Linked DNA regions of Caenorhabditis elegans. The protein of the gene in region 2 purifies or fractionates together with the protein of the main gene of each other region. This does not show direct contact. Each region holds a gene or a part of one and is shown on either strand. Other genes may lie near its edges.

What was found.
Region 1: the proteins of C45B2.6 (region 2) and K09D9.9 fractionate together in Caenorhabditis elegans (co-fractionation; one large-scale study listed by BioGRID). This does not show direct contact.
Region 3: the proteins of C45B2.6 (region 2) and F01D5.6 fractionate together in Caenorhabditis elegans (co-fractionation; one large-scale study listed by BioGRID). This does not show direct contact.

What each region holds. Positions count from the first base shown.
Region 1 is NC_003283.11:3,991,777-3,996,032, forward strand, and holds K09D9.9 (Usp domain-containing protein), read right to left. Parts: upstream 2,373-4,256; 5' UTR 2,364-2,372; coding exon 2,250-2,363; intron 2,194-2,249; coding exon 1,969-2,193; intron 1,901-1,968; coding exon 1,814-1,900; intron 1,762-1,813; coding exon 1,570-1,761; intron 1,080-1,569; coding exon 879-1,079; 3' UTR 852-878; downstream 1-851. Other genes in the region: srx-62 (G-protein coupled receptors family 1 profile domain-containing protein), read right to left, coding at 3,004-3,100, 3,147-3,346, 3,390-3,562, 3,618-3,838, 3,887-4,047, 4,112-4,162.
Region 2 is NC_003284.9:6,051,015-6,057,997, reverse strand, and holds C45B2.6 (phospholipase A2), read right to left. Parts: upstream 4,941-6,983; 5' UTR 4,899-4,940; coding exon 4,782-4,898; intron 4,547-4,781; coding exon 4,430-4,546; intron 4,387-4,429; coding exon 4,157-4,386; intron 4,102-4,156; coding exon 3,927-4,101; intron 3,592-3,926; coding exon 3,480-3,591; intron 3,436-3,479; coding exon 3,345-3,435; intron 3,297-3,344; coding exon 3,200-3,296; intron 3,156-3,199; coding exon 3,071-3,155; intron 3,028-3,070; coding exon 2,758-3,027; intron 2,709-2,757; coding exon 2,452-2,708; intron 2,376-2,451; coding exon 2,122-2,375; intron 2,074-2,121; coding exon 1,803-2,073; intron 1,252-1,802; coding exon 1,096-1,251; intron 1,047-1,095; coding exon 990-1,046; 3' UTR 825-989; downstream 1-824.
Region 3 is NC_003280.10:14,004,738-14,009,441, reverse strand, and holds F01D5.6 (TPM domain-containing protein), read right to left. Parts: upstream 2,933-4,704; 5' UTR 2,932-2,932; coding exon 2,656-2,931; intron 2,325-2,655; coding exon 2,223-2,324; intron 2,162-2,222; coding exon 1,911-2,161; intron 1,713-1,910; exon of another isoform or gene 1,607-1,712; intron 1,605-1,606; coding exon 1,463-1,604; intron 1,409-1,462; coding exon 1,321-1,408; intron 1,271-1,320; coding exon 1,171-1,270; intron 1,101-1,170; coding exon 971-1,100; 3' UTR 854-970; downstream 1-853. Other genes in the region: F01D5.7 (Serine aminopeptidase S33 domain-containing protein), read right to left, coding at 72-416, 759-776.

The DNA.
Region 1 (4,256 bases), on a different chromosome or scaffold from region 2:
TTCGTGTATTTTTTGAGATTTGAAAAATTTCGACATTTTCAGTATTTCTATTGTTCACCTGTATTACATATTTATTGTTCTTAAATACTGTATTTCCTCAAGAAAATTTTTTCGGGGTTTTTGATGTTTGAAACAGGGGTAGGCGACCAACGGTTTTTTCCAGCAAATGGGCAAATCGGTAAATTGCGGAAATTGAAAAATTCCGGCAAATCGGAATTCCGATTTGCCCAAGATTTCGAAAAAACAGCAATTGCCGAAAAAATAGCCGGCAAATTGTGGTTTTGCACTTTTTTCTTGGAAATTTCAGAATTTAAATTTTAAAAATTATACGTATCCTATAAATGATCCTACATCTGTTTTGAAAAGCACACAAATTCTATGAAAATATCTAGAAAAAACGAAAAACAAATTTCAAAAAGGCACAGTTTCCGTATTATAAAAAAATCCCTCTAAAACTGCCGGCAAATTGATTTCCGGCAAACGGCTAATCGGCAATTTTTTTAGAAAACTACACAGCTTTTACTCATAAAACTTTCCCGATTCAATTTTTAATTCATTTGTCCTGATTTCAAGAAAATAACAATATAACTTCCAGGCACGTCATTTCCATCAAGTTCTAGTCATCAACAATATGTCCTGCCAATTTATGGGCATCATTAAAAAGACATATAAGTCTACATATATCACATGCCCTATGTTTACTTTTTCATTTTTTTTCCGTATTTTCTGATCATAAATCGTGGAAATAGCAAACCAGTTTATTTGCCTTACCCCCTTTTTTTCAAATTCCAACTTCTCATCATTTCCGTCATCTGCCCAAATTTTCTGTCTTGGACACGGAAACTAAAGGGTCAGTGTAAAGCGTTTCATTCAAAAATTTAGAAATACGAAAGATACCGAAAGTATCGTTCTCTGCAATACTTTTGATCCATATTTTCGAAAAATAAGTTCAAATGCATATCTGTTCGGTCTTTACTTGCTCCCATGAGCATGAACTTTTTCTCCATTCTCAGACGTTGCATTGACTCGACAAATCCGTTTTCTTCACGAGAGCGGGGTAAGGTATGCGCAAAGTTCACCTGAAAATTGAGAAATTGATCATCCATTGTATAGTTCATCACGTATTTAGAATGGTCATGCAATATGGAATGTCATCAGTCTGACCTTGAACATTCTAATTTTTTAGCGGTTAATTTTCTGTTCAGTCAGTGTTCAGTCAAGTTATATTTATTTTGAAACTGAATTTGTTGATTTTTATATTGATTAAAAACTTCTATCAGCCATAAAACTGGATTTTTAAAATTTAAAAAAAATCGAAAAAAATTTTTTTTAGACTTTACCCGCTTCTTAACCAACTTTCACCAACTTTTACCAACTATTCCAGTTGTTCAGAGCATGAAAACGCTGCCCAATTCAACCAACTATATGTCCAATTTTTGTAAATGGCAGTTAGAAAGTGGCAAGAGTTGTTGGCGGCGATTTACCAAGTTCGGAAAACTTTGATAGTTGGTATATTGATCTATTTTCTTGATTTTTAAATTCTCACCGTACCAAAGTATTCAAAATTACCTGACAAACTGGAGGAAGAAAATCGTAATAGTCTCCCAAAAACTGTTGAAACAAAAGGTGAGAAGATCCTTTGGAAGGTCCCACTATCAAAACATCGATCACCGAGCTGATACGTTTCAGCGAGTTTGCCAAACCTTCAGCTTTCAAAGACGAAAATTTCAAGTGATGAATTGTGCAGGATTTTAGAATTTTCTGGAATATTTCAGTTGATAATCATTTTCATTTGTAATTCTATAAAACTCACATCAAGATCCAGATCTCGGAGGGAAGAGTCACCGTCAAATGAAACGACAACGGCGGTACATGTCTCTGTGAATTTTGCTTTACTCTTCTGAAAATTTATAATATGTATTAATAGAGAATTAATTTTACATAAATTTTATAAATTTTAAAAATTACTTCTATCATATTTTTCACTTTGAACATTGTCATTTCACTTCTCAACGTGAATCTTATCACGCTCATCTGAGCATTCGTCGAGCACCAATTTAAAGATTCTGGCAATTTTCTCCACATTGTTTCAAATTTGTCTTTGTTCGTCTCCTCAAATAGATCATAAACACATTTATCAACTGCACAAAGATATCCATATATCATCGGATCTTTTCCTTCCAACGGGATTTGCTGAAATTTCCGATTTGGAAATTTTTGAATAAGTTCTTAATTTTAGAATAACCTACACATGAATAAACTGTAGTGTTTTGTAAGACACTGAAAATTGAGCTTATCAAATAAAGAAATACTATAGTTACAGACGCTGAGAAAATAAGAAGTCGAAATCGCATTCGATACATTTTTGACAGTAAATTCCAACAGACATAAAGAAGCGGTTGTAGACGAAAAAAACTGTGGCAAAATGGTGTAGATGGTTATCCATGTAGTAGTAAGGGAGATTTGAAGTTTTGATTTGGGATGAAAAGAGGAATAGTATGACATGAAGCTTAGGCTCCACACGTTTTCATTTTTGAAAACGTAAAATTAAAGTTTAATGTGTCCTATACAAGTACCGAAATGAGTCCCGTTAACTTACAACTTGTTATAGCTTACAGCGTTAATTTGTTAGTTATTCCTATAAAAAGCATTCGACATCTCGTGAGTCCAAAATCGACTAAAAATCAAAAACAGAATAACCAGGATAAAGTTGGAGAAATTAAAATAATTTGTGTCTAATCTTTTCATTCAAAAAAAGCTTTAAAAAAATATATGGCAGACATAGGGTTCAGGTCAGATTCTCTATTAGTATTGTACCCCACTACTTGATATTGAAAAGTTATATCTTGATTTATTTTCAGATATTAATAACAAATAGACAACGTACCCTTACAATTAGAAACATAAATGAATGATAATTTACGGAATACAAAAATTGTAACAATTCGTGGGACATCAGAGAAAAGTTTTATTCAAAAAAAAACTGGAACTTTTAGATGGTGTTCAGCTACTGATCCGATTCATCGACGATACTCGTTTTTTCGTTTCTTTGCACAACAGGAACTTCCGAACTTCTGGATTAAATATTACAACCACCAATCTAAAAATCAGCACAAAAAGAATTTAAAATGTTTCTAAAAAAATACCCATCCACTGCGTGCACAGCTACCCAGGCAAATGACGTGCCAAAAAACACGATCCACTTGTTGGAAAAATATTGGGGAATAAAAAAGTAGGTGAGAAGCTCAAGCAAGAACACGGAGCCTTGTGTCACTGTCTGCTTGAGAAATCGCATTTCTCTAGAGGACAATTTGTTTTGCGCCTGTTCAGTTATATTTACGGAGATCTAAATATTTTGCTTTTTTGAAATAAAATAATTGTTGTCATACCTTTCTAGACATTCGTCTGACTTTAATAACTGTTAATATATCAATGAGCATTATTACTGCAACAATACACGCGTTTTTGACAAAATCTCCATACCAGCCAATGTTTGCACACAGCTTAGAATCGGTGAATGTGAGAAAATCCGACTTGTCTTCGTAGTAGATATGGCATAAAACTATAACACAGAAAATTACATAATAAAGCATCAAATTGAAAAAAAAAGTACTCACTTTCATAAAGGTATATGGCCACTGACCCAGTAAATAACCAAATTAAAATTATTAAAATTTTTGAGTTTTTCTCATTGAAAATATTATGATATTGATAAGGAATCCAGACCGCGCAGAATCTGTTGAGTGATATTGCTAGGTGAATCATTACGGAGAGCTCATAGCAAAGAAGAAGCACGAATCCGCAGTGATGGGACATTTCTTTCATTATAGCATTGTCCCTGAAACAAACTTTGTCTATAGTTTTAAGAAGAACTTTTAAAACTTACAAAAGGACCATTGGACAAAAGTACAATAAGAAAGTGGTTGAGTGAAGACCATCTACGAGAGCTTGATTTGCAGAGAGAAATCCAAAAGAGTGATTGAAACATTCCAATCGTTGAATCGCGTAGAAAATTGTCCAATTCAGAATTGAACCGAGAAATGAGATCTGAAAATCTTTGTTTTAGCTTTTTTGGAAATGTGGTAAATTTTGGCAAATAACTTGAACAAACCGGCAACAGGGCATATAATGTTTGATTGGTAATATCCATTTCATCTTCCATTGCGAAAATTTTTGAGCAATTAACAATTGATTGAAAAAATGAGAAGCTGAAGCTCTTGTACTGAAACGGAATTCAAATTTTTTTATGAGCCACA
Region 2 (6,983 bases):
ACAGTCATGCGGGGGGTTAGAAGAAAAAAGACGCAGAGAACCAACTCAGCAAATGACGGTTCACTTCATATAAGTTTACACAAACGCCATTCAGATGGATGGTGGTTACAAAAGGAGCATAAGAAACTCAGAGATCGGCTCACGACCATATTGGTGTAAGTACCTGCCCTTTGCCCAATTTGTTACCTCATGCGGTTTGTGAAAAACGCAATGTACTCGACAGAGAGAGAGAGAGAGAACGAGAGACCGCAGATAACAATCAAAGAATGGGAGGTGGTGGTGGGAATCGTTGCCATACAGTCAAGAAATCAGAGACCAAAAGAATACAACTTCAAATGTTTGAAAAATGAAAACATTATTCGTCCGAAAGTCACAAGTGGAGTGGCTGTGGAGCTATGATACGTGTGATAGTAAGTTGTAAAACGGAAGTTTACACATTCTTTATTGATATTCTGATAAAGTAATTTCGTTTTATCATTCTGATTCAAAAAATCAGACTGATCAAATTAAACCTACTAATCGGAAAAGTGTGGCTGCCGCTGCTGCGCACATGTACTTGGTAGTCTGGGCAACAATAAGGAAAACGGCAAAGTTGGTTTTATTGAACGAAAAAAAGTGCAGACTAGATACGTATGTATATGACAGATGCTATTTTTTCTTTGTATAAGATCAAAGGAGCAAATTCTCTTCACTGATTCTTTGGTTGAGAGAAAAACATTATTATAAAAAAAAGCTGAGTGGCACTGAACGAAAATACTTCTTGATGGATTTTTACCTCTAGTAAAAGACAGAGAAGATAAACAAAAATGGAAATACGACAAAGCTTGAAAAAATATTTACTCGGTTCAAATAGACTTCTATGTATTATGACGGAATGATTTTTCACAACTGAGACTTAGAATGTATACAAAATTATGAACTTATGTGTATTCTCACATATGAGAAAAGCAAAACTAATAGATTATTGAATATCTGCGAGAGGGCTCAAATTATTTGAGAATCGAAGAAAGCATGTACATCTCATTTCGCATTGCGACAGCTTCATACTGCAAAAAGTCAATACATAATGAATCAAATTGTCATCCATTAGGTTACCTTGACAGCGAGCATTGCATCCAGCAACGCACTATCATCCTTCTCGTCAATAGCAACTGGGAATTCAAGGTTTGGAGTGAAACGGAAGAAAGCCATTCCCATGGCTTCAGCCATCCAACGAGCCCGTTCGACGGTTACTCCATCAGCTGCTGTGAGCTGAAAGTGTGGAAAAATGAAAGGTGACAATATAATTAGATGTTTTCCCCGAAAAGGTTGTTAATCCATTCTAGAAAGAAAAAATATTGGAAATAGAAAACAAAATTAACAAAAAATTAAGAAATAACAGTTCCGGTTTATCGAGTGTAAGTCATATACACTCATGTTTTGAACGAAGCTTTAGATTTACGAAGAAAACTTGTCAAATTAGTCCATGTAACTATTTTAGCACCGAAATCACACTTCAAACTAGAATTTGAAACAACCATTTTTGGTTCAAACTAATAAGTCAAAACTCTTTTCAGGATGCGTTTTCAATATGAGAATAAATTGAGATGTTTTCAAGAAACATTCACGTTCGTTGCTAATTATGAAAGGCACCGGTGATTAAAATTAACGTAGTTGGGCTTTTCTGCTATTGAGTTGCCTAATAGTGAGCACACAAACTTTTTGACAACTTTGATTGAATTACATTGACAGACTTATTGATCTGCGCAAAACTTCAAACTTTATTGGCCATTTTTATCTGAAAAGAATTGCTTGCAACTCACCTGCTCAATAAAGACGTCTTTTAAGTGAAGAATCTGGTTGAACGTGTTCACAATTCCACCCATTGTTGTTGGCTTCATCAAGTCAACATTCTCAATTTTCTTTTGCATCGACCCAGTTCCAATTGAAACCATGATCTTTGACACATTACGCTCGTTTCTCTCATATTCCAGGCGTTGACAATCAGTAAGAATGTCAACAGCTGGATTATTAGCGATTAGTCCTCCGTCCATAAACTTTCCATCAACAGGTGGGAAGAATGATGGCGCCGCTCTGAAAAATACGAATCAAAAAGTGCATTTCTGTCCAGCTGTGACTCACGAAGAAGCCCTAACAACTTTTGCAGCTGCCCAGACAGGCTTCATGCCAGCTTGATCAAATGACGGGTCTCTGATGTTATAACTGCGGAACATGTAGAGTAGCGGAGGGCTGATATCGACTCGAGCAACCGGGATACTGATGCGAATACCATTCTTCTCACCGAGTTGCTGGAGCGTATCTCTTCCAAATTCATTTAGAAGAGCATTTTCCAGACCTTCGCCAGAGTATGGTCTGGATCCAATGAAAATATCATCCTGAAAAAATAAGATATTGCAACTAGCACCTGATCTTCCATATCATAATCGCTTTTCTCAATGTTCATTTTCCTACTTTCATTCTGAAATATTGTCTGATGACATGGTCAATATTTCCGTACTTGACCAATCCAAGAGTGATCATTGATCCAGTTGATGTTCCACCGATATGATTGAACCAGCGCAAGAATTTATTTCCAACAACCTTTTCGATCTCCTTCAAAAGCTGAAGAGCCAGAATTCCTTTCATACCACCTCCGTCAATAGACAAAATGACTGAATCTTTCTTGGTCAATGGCGGGAAGTTTTGGCAACGACGATGAGAAGGGTTTTCTGAAAGACGCAGAATGTTATAAAGCGAATAGAAACATATCAAAGTTACCCAGATTGTATTTAATATTTTTCTCTTTTCCTTCTTCAAGTGCTTTGAAGTGTTTTTGCAGAACTTCTGCACATTTACGTCTGGAATTTAGTGCAGCTTTCAAAATTCGGTCGGTGGAATGTCCATCAAACGCCAGAAATGCTTTTACAATATCGACGTCATCTCTTTCAAGAGCATAATCCATTGGAGACATTCCTTTGTTATCAAGCATATTAACATTCGCGCCGTGCGACCAAAGAAGTATGATTGTGCTTAGGTTTCCATTTTTTGCTGAAAAAGTTACGAGTTGCCATTTAAATGTAGTTCAGTTTACCTATATAATGCATTGGTGTGAGTCCGTTCAAATCTTGAGCGTTTATCATTTCAGCTTTGGCAAAACTGAGCATCAACTTTTGGTGCTGGAAATTTGATTAATAAAAACAATATAGTCATTTCAACAAACATCTTTCACGAAATTGTCAAATGTGTGAAACACATTCTTCGAGTTCAAAAGTCTCCCCAAAAAGTCCGAGTCTTGCACGTAGAGAATTCTCAGCACTCTGAAAAACGGTACTAATAAGATAGATACAATCAATGTGGCAACTTACGATTCAAGATCTCTCAGTGAAAATGATGATTTGTTGAGAACATCTGCCGGTGACAATAAGCAATGTGGCAAGTTATTTTTGATTGAGTATTCTGAATATGTTGATAAAGAAAATGTTGTAATTTTTGGTATTCACCTAGAATTTTCTCAAAAGATCGCGGGTAATCGGGAGTTTCGGGCTTGGGATGAGTTTCTGCGGTTATGATCATTTTGTCGCATACTTCTCCGGTAACATGACTGTTGATGTACTGCAAAAATATATTGTTTTCCAAATTTGTTCTTACATTGAAGCATTTTTTTTTTCAAAATATAGAATCGGAAAAACTTGTATACAAATTGAAGCTGCAAAAATCATCCAGCAAAATGATCCGGAGCACAGTTTTCATCTGTACGGATTTTAATTTTTCAGTGAGTCCCACCCATATGCAAGCTTTTTTCGTCAGACTTAACCAATTTCTATAGTTTTCATTTATTGATATAACGCCTATTAATGTCTATTAAGGCATTTGTTTTGTAATTTTCAGCAAAATCCCCCCAAGACACATTTTTCCACCTCGTATCTTTTATTTTAATAAATATTCACCTTTACAATTTCTGGACGATGACGTGCAACTTGCAAAATTGTCTGACCATTATGATTCATTGTCAATGGATCGAAATATTTGTCCCAGACCATTTGAAGTAAACTAAGAGATGCAAATCGAGCGGCAACATGAACGGGAGTATCACCTCTTCTATTTAGTTTTGACATTGAGAAGCTGAAACGGTTCAGTTTTTGTTAACTCAATAAAACTTGATTTGACAGTAACCTACCCATCTCCTTCTTTCTTTTTCTCCTCCTTAACATAATTTGAAAATCCAGAAAAAATCGCAAAATATACTGCTGAGCACTCGGATTGTAATTCCTTTTCTCTCAGCATAACCGGTACCAAATCATTAATGACGTTGATAGGATTGTTCAGATGTGTGATGGATTCGTCAAATTCTTTCCACAAATATTCCAGATCGTCAATGTAAGATGCATTCTTATTGAAATAAACAACCTGGAAAGTTTCTACGTGTATTTTTAATGTTATTTCAGCTTACATAGTTGTTTGGTGTGTAGACAAGTGCATATCCATCACCATATGTAGCTTGTGAAAAGTTCGTAGAAAGCTTTGAGTTGATAGAAAATTTCAAGGTTTTATCCACAGGTCCCGGCCACTGAAAATTGTGCAAATAAATAGGTAAAGGTTTTTAATAATTTAAAAAACCATAATCTGGGAGCACATTTTTGACACATTAAAAAAACATCGTTTTCCTCATCGTTGTGTGGTAGTTTTTTAAACAAAAATTTATAAAAAACTATAGAAAAAATATTTTTTAAATTTATTTTTAGAAAGTGCATGCTCAAGTTTTTTTTTCAATTTTTCATAAACTCAAAATGTTCAAAACTCACCATCGATTGTGCCTGTGGATTGCTGGCTTGAGACGTTGAACCAGCTGCTTTATGTTGAGCATCCGCGTATTCTTTGATTTTATCCTCCACGTTTTGTCGGACTGTGTTCATCGCCATCTGGCCGACGTCACTTTTGGCAAGTTTCATGAAAAAATCCATCTGAAATAACTGTGTTCATAGAAATATGATGTGAAACATGGAACAAACTGGAAATGGAATATAACAACAACAATTAGCATAGGTGTCGTCAAATGTGGTGTCAGGTCCGCATGTACACTTTTGCGGACTTGAGTGCACTATACCACTTCAGATGAGAGGTTTCCGTTTCCTTTTGGTTTTTCTCTAAACAATACAAAAAACGTGTTGAATTTCTAGTAAGAATTCGTTTTTTTTTCTTTTAAACTATTTGTGAATAATTAATGCGTTCTCTGCGGACATTGTTTTCCCGCCCTCACCCTTTGCCCAGACAGTGCATGTGTTCTTATCGATTTGTACAGCTGTTACTTTTTTCGATTTGTTTTTTTTTCTAAATAGAAATGACTTTCAAGTTTTACTGTTGTATTTTGCAGCAAAACTTACAATAAAAAACTATTGACTAATACCCAAAAGTTTCCCACCCAATTCGATGCAATCCATTTAAAAGCCCCCACTTAAATGATAGAAAAGTTACCAGCATCTCGAACAAATCCGGTTTCCGATAGATTCGCTCGATCGTCCATTAACTCAATCCGTGCACTTTTCCCCCTCAGTTCATCCCCATGAACTTTGATCTAAAACTGTTGTTGGTTTGTTTTCAATTCAATTGCTTATTTGGAACCATTTTAAAACTGGGCAAAGAGTCCGTTTTTGCGATCAGAAGATTGTCCTCTTTTTATGGTTTTAGAACTCTCATTAAACGTCAACTTGTGACCTTTCGGAACGTAATTTCGAATGCATGTCTCCTAGTGTTTCCGTTTTTGTTCAATTGCCAAATATCCTTTGTGCCATCCTTTTTCTTTTTACCACTTTGATAGATAACAAATGAAAGACAAAGTTATAAAAGTTGAAAATAATATAATATTTCAAACCTAACAAGATTAATTGGTTAAAAATCTGTTACTTATTTTCGGAATATATCCGTTCCTTTCCTTCATCCACTTTATCAAAGGAATGTGTGTAATCTTTGAAAGTATGCTCCAAAACACTCATTACTCACACACTCTTGTCTCATAAACGTGGTCCCGTTGCTAGATGGTGCCGGCGATGATACAAGAGAGAGAAAGAGACTACAAACGGGAGTGCGTGTGAGACAGCCTAGCTAAATCTACCAATCCTACATTTGACCTTTGCCACGAACCAAGATGGCGTAAGTTGCAGAGGCCTGCACCGTCGATCGTCGAATGTTTACATAACCTATTCATAGAGTTGGTTTTAGATATTCGACTTTTTTATCCCTAGAAACATTTTTGTCGACGCATCATGTAAACTTTGTTTATTAAGTATTACCATATTTTCCCTTTCAGACATGCACCTCCCCCCCCCCCCCCCCCCATTTCTCTACTTTGGCGGCTTTTTTAAGTTTTATTTTTTGAAAAAGTAGAAATTGTTCCCCTCGATAGACTCAAAATGGCCTTAAAACCCAATTTATGAGGAATTTTTCAAAAAAATGTCTAAAAGTTTTACATTAGTCCCCTTTTTTGAAGCTAATTCTGCATGTTTTGGTAAATATTTTTCAGTTCAGTTGATAGAATACTAAATTTGGATAACTATCGATTAGCTATGTACTGAGAATGTACTGAAATATACAGAAAACTTTGGCATAAACAGCCTAAGTACTCAAGAAGTGGTGATAATTGAACGAAAACAATCTACATGCTTCTGCAATAGGTACAAGTTGGTAAGATTCGAACTCACTAATTTACTGTCTATTTCAACTTATCTTCAATTGCGCACTTTTTATGTTACATTCTCCAACTTTGAACACACATTCCGACCTTGTCAATCTGTTTGTCAAAGAGAAAAAAGTCTTTAAAATTCCGGGGGACATTCCTTTATCTCGTTAGTGTCAAAGCCTACCGGCGGCATCAAGTAGAAAACAATAATTGATATCAGATTGATCCGAATTTGAAACGACATCGAACTAGTTTTCGCATTCTCGCTACATTTCAATGAATTGAGCGTGTATGTGTGTATTATATGTGTATGTGTGCTTGATGATATAGG
Region 3 (4,704 bases), on a different chromosome or scaffold from region 2:
TGGAAGCAACCGACGATTTATGGTAATTTTTAAAATTGTGGCCGACATTATCTCTGCAGGTTATGACTAACCTGATTCGCGACCTCTGGATTCTTGGAATAGCAATTCGGGGAGCACTTAACACACACAAGATGACTGTCTTCAGATGTTGTAACCGAGAACACTTTCACCTCAGGATGCACACGATCCCTAACCACCAGCTGAACAGGCTCGTCATGACAATCACGAACACTTTCCAGATCCTTCTCCGGATCAGATTTCAGCTCGATCCGATAGGTGGCTCCTTTGTCTGGCGGGTGGAATGCCAATTTCCGGATGATTTCCGATGGGATGGGTGGGCATGCGACGTAGCATAGAAGGCCAATGGAGCGGACGATCTCATGGAGCTGGTCACAGATTCCGGGGGAAGGTTCGTCCTGGAAATTATTGATTTTTAAAACCAGACATCTGATGGGTTCCAAAGAAGATGCTATAAGTTTTGGCAAAGCCCCGATTAGTTTGGCAGCCGACACCTCGCGAGTTTAAAATTTAAACTGAAATCATCTTGAGACCGCCTAAAACTTGCAACCGACTCGAGCAGCCGACACTTTATGGGACATTATGGACCCGAATTATTTTTAGCAAAGAAAAAAAACAATTTTAATGTGAAAAAAGATTTGTATTATGAAATTGAGAATTTCCCAAAAATAGCAGCCGACAACTCGTGGGACTAAGCATGACTCAAGCAGCCAACAAATACCGACTGAAAATTAACTTACCTCTTCGAGACGTAGCATGACGAGATGGGAAACGAAATTAAACGATGATTGAAAAAAGTGTTGTTTTTGTTTTGTGAGCAAGTGTAAATAACAACAAAAACGTGGAATGACGTGGATTTTTTATTGATTTTTTTTCATCGAAAAATTGAAAATGGAATTAAGAGGATATGTGTGACCCGTCGTGGAAAATTGTTAGAGAAAATATACAAAATTTAGAAATGTCTTCGTTTTCTGGTGCCCGCGGCGCTAACCGGGCAGGTTTGTGATGCTCCGGAAAGGATCGAGTTGCGGTACTTCTGGAAGAGTGGGCGGATGAAGTCGTTGGTGGCTCCGTCCCAGGCTCTGAAAATAATTCGTATTTTTGCTAGGCTGTTCAGCGGCCGACACCTAACGGGTCTGGAAAAAAACTCACTTTTGTCGGTTTCCAAGTACTTCCTTGTTCTTCTCGGTCTCCTCCTCGATCTTGTTGTAACGTGAGTCGGAAATCAGCTTCAAGGAGATACTCATGGCTTCTAAATATAAAATTTTAATATAAAATTTTATTAAAAAAGCTTGAACGAACCTTCAACAACTGCTCTGACATGTTTTGGAAGATCTGCATCGTTCTGTCCACATCGGGCCATGGCCTGCTGAAGGATTGATACCCAGACCTAAATATATTCAAAAAATTAGGCTAAAAATAGAAATCTTCTGTCAAAATTTACCTTATCATCTTCATCAATGCTCTCATGAATCGTGTTGAAAGCTGGGAATGGGCGTTTTGCCTGTTGCACACTGTTCGGGAGACCAGCGGCCCGGAATGGTTGGGATTCAACAGCAGAGACCGCAGGTGGGTTTGGCATGAATCTGGAAGTTTGATCGTAAGTTTTGAAAAAGAGGACCAGGAAAGTGTTGGCTGCAGCTTCGACTAATTCCCGTGAGCTGTCGGCTGCAGCAATTATCTGAGCACCCCATAATCTATCAGCTGTGTTTTTAGTAGCCTGCCGAATGTCGGCTGCACCTTTGTTACAAGGTCTACTAAAAGCCAGTTTCAGACTATTTTCAAGCCCGTGAGATGTCCGCGGCTTTCTCAGTTTTTCATGTGTCGACTGGTTCCTAAAGATAGCAACCGACACCTGGCGGGCCGCTAATCAAAAAAACCCCAAAACTCACTCAGTCGGTCTAAACTCAGTTGGAGTCGGGACCTGCACAATATGAGCATTCGAGTAAGCTGCCACAATGACCTCAATCATTCCTTCCAGCCCAAGTGCATATCTTCCTGTCTTGAAATGCCCAATATTCCGTTCAAATGCAGATTTCAACGTGTCCTTCGAGATCTTGGCATCTCTACCAGCAACTGTGAACACTTGACGATCTTGTCTAGAATTCACGATGAGCACTGTAGTGTCGCACATTCCAACGTCCTGAAATTTGAAATTATATACAGGAACATTTAAGAATTAAAAGCAGTTTCAGAAGACATACCTGGAAGTTTTGGTATCTTCTTTTCAAGTTATTGGCGAATTTTTCAATGTCAACTGGAACACCTGGTACACTTCCGATTTTGTCGATTATCGCGACAATTATCTGAAAAATAAGTGATTTAGCTTGGCAAGCTTCTGCCAAAGGTTGGAATCTTTCTGACGCAAGTTCGAAAAAAAAATTTGGCCAGGCTTTGGACTGTTTCATTTTTCGTTTTTTAAATCTTTTTCTGCTCTGCCCGGCCTAAGCCTAAGCCTAAGCCTAGGCCTAAGGCTAAGCCTGAACCTAAGCCGGAGCCTAAACCTAAGTCTACGGTTAAGCCTAAGCCTAAGCCTAAGCCTAGGTCTAGGCTTAAACCGGATTAAAAATTTTCGGAAACTGTTGACTTTCTGGCGCATTTCTACCAACTTCAACATTGTCCAACTCAGTAACTCACCTCCAAATTCCTATCAGGCATCAATGCACATGACGGAGAAGTATTCTTAATTCCAGAAGTCAACGAATGCAATTGATTAACCCTCTGCACCAATCGACTTCTCTCCTCATCGGAAACGATAGCCGACGGATCACAGACTTGCGATGGAAGTGCCAACCGACATGAAAATGGATCTAATCGAGGATCTGGGTAGGTTTGCGATGTGAATTGTGCGACTATGGAGGAGATGAAGAAGAATGGGAAGAGAATTAGGATAGGGTCCAGTTTGGGATGCATTCTGTAATGAAATTTGAAATTTTAGAGGTATGATTCCACAAAAACGGCAAAAAAAAACAAAAATTTTGAAGAGCGGCTTAGGATTTTTTATAACAGTTTCTTTAGAAAACTGAGAAAACTGGAAATTGTTAAAAGAATATTTGACCGAAAACAGGTAAATAAAAATTAAAACTTCAAACTACAAACTACAAACTACAATGACCACAAACTATGTATATTTTTGAACAATTTCTATTGAACATTTCTAACAAGTATTTAAGTATACGAATACAAAACTTTAAACAAAAAAAAGCTGCATACTTTCAAACTACCTGCTAAAACTACGGACTACAAACTACAAGCTACAAACTACAAACTACAAACTACCTATTGCCAAAAATAATTTTTTTCCAATATTTTGGAAATTTTCGAAAAGTTAGACTTCGACAGTTTTGAAAATCTTAAAATGCTTGAAATTGTTGATTTTGAAATTCAATACAATTAAAAATAATTTATACGGAGAAAATATCAAAAAATAGGCGGTAGGCAGGCACTTAGGCATGTCAGCCTTACGGAAATAGTGAATGAATAAAAAGTGTGTGACTCTCGCCGAGATTCACCAAAAGCCACAAGTCACACAAGAATGCTATTCAAGTGGTTTTTGTGAGTTTCAGACGTCTCTATATATATACAATTATATACAGTTACAGTTTACACATGCATACATTACCAAGTAAACTACGAGAAAATTCTAGAAGCTTTCATTTTGAATGGGGGGGGGGGAGGGGAGAATAAACAAAGTGTCTATGTTTCTGAGGACTGTAAACCACTTATGCAAATGCTTAAGAAACAAACTCGCTTGGTTTTGTAACGTTTTGTAAAGTTTTGGAGGAAATTCAAGGGAAATGTAGTTGTAGTAGGTACACTGTAATAAATTAAGGCTGAAAACTGACAGCTGTAGTAGTTTTTTTTTTGGAATTTTCCAAAGATTTTGATTTCAGCTTATAGAAAATTTTATGCTGATCATTTTTGCCTCTTGCCACTTTTTTGTATCTTTTACAGTTAAAAAGTTACACACAGTTTAGCGAGAGCAAAGCTAGAGAGTGTGAAGGGAGGGGAGACGCCGACGACGAGGCGCCCTGCGTCTCTCTCCTCTCCACACTCTCTAGCCCATTGGACTAAAAAGGCTTGTATCTCAGGAACAGTAAGGTCTAGAAAGAAGTTTTCAAATGAAAAAATGCTGGAAATTGTTCGGGGATTTTTAATTTTTTTTTAAGCAAGGAAAAAGAAGCCAATTCTACACAATAATCATTGATCTACTAAAAGTTATGAATGTTGCATAATCTCCAGCCGATAATCTCCCTATAAAGTCGCAAAAAAAGTTGCCAAAAATCTTGAGAGACCTGTTGAAAAGTGTTCAAAAGTGGGCAATGAAGAAGAAGTCAAAGCAACAATCGTCTGCCTGTCGGATAATAAGCTTCACCGGACGGGGGTATCTTCTTCTTCGTCTCCCCTCTTCCCCCTCCTCAGAGGAACCGGCTGATGCCCCCTCTCAACACGCCGAACCAGATCCGAAGACCGTCTGCGTCTCCGGTGGCTTTATCGTTCGCCTCGTTGTTGCCTCCTGGGTGTGTGTGTGTGAACCTATCTCTTCTTCACCCGACGTTCGATTTTCAACAAATGATCACTTCCACCCCCAGATATATATTATAAGCATTTTTATTTATGACTCTCGCTTTCTCGAGGAGAAATTGGAAATTAAATAATTAGATATCCTTCATTGATTTTACAGTT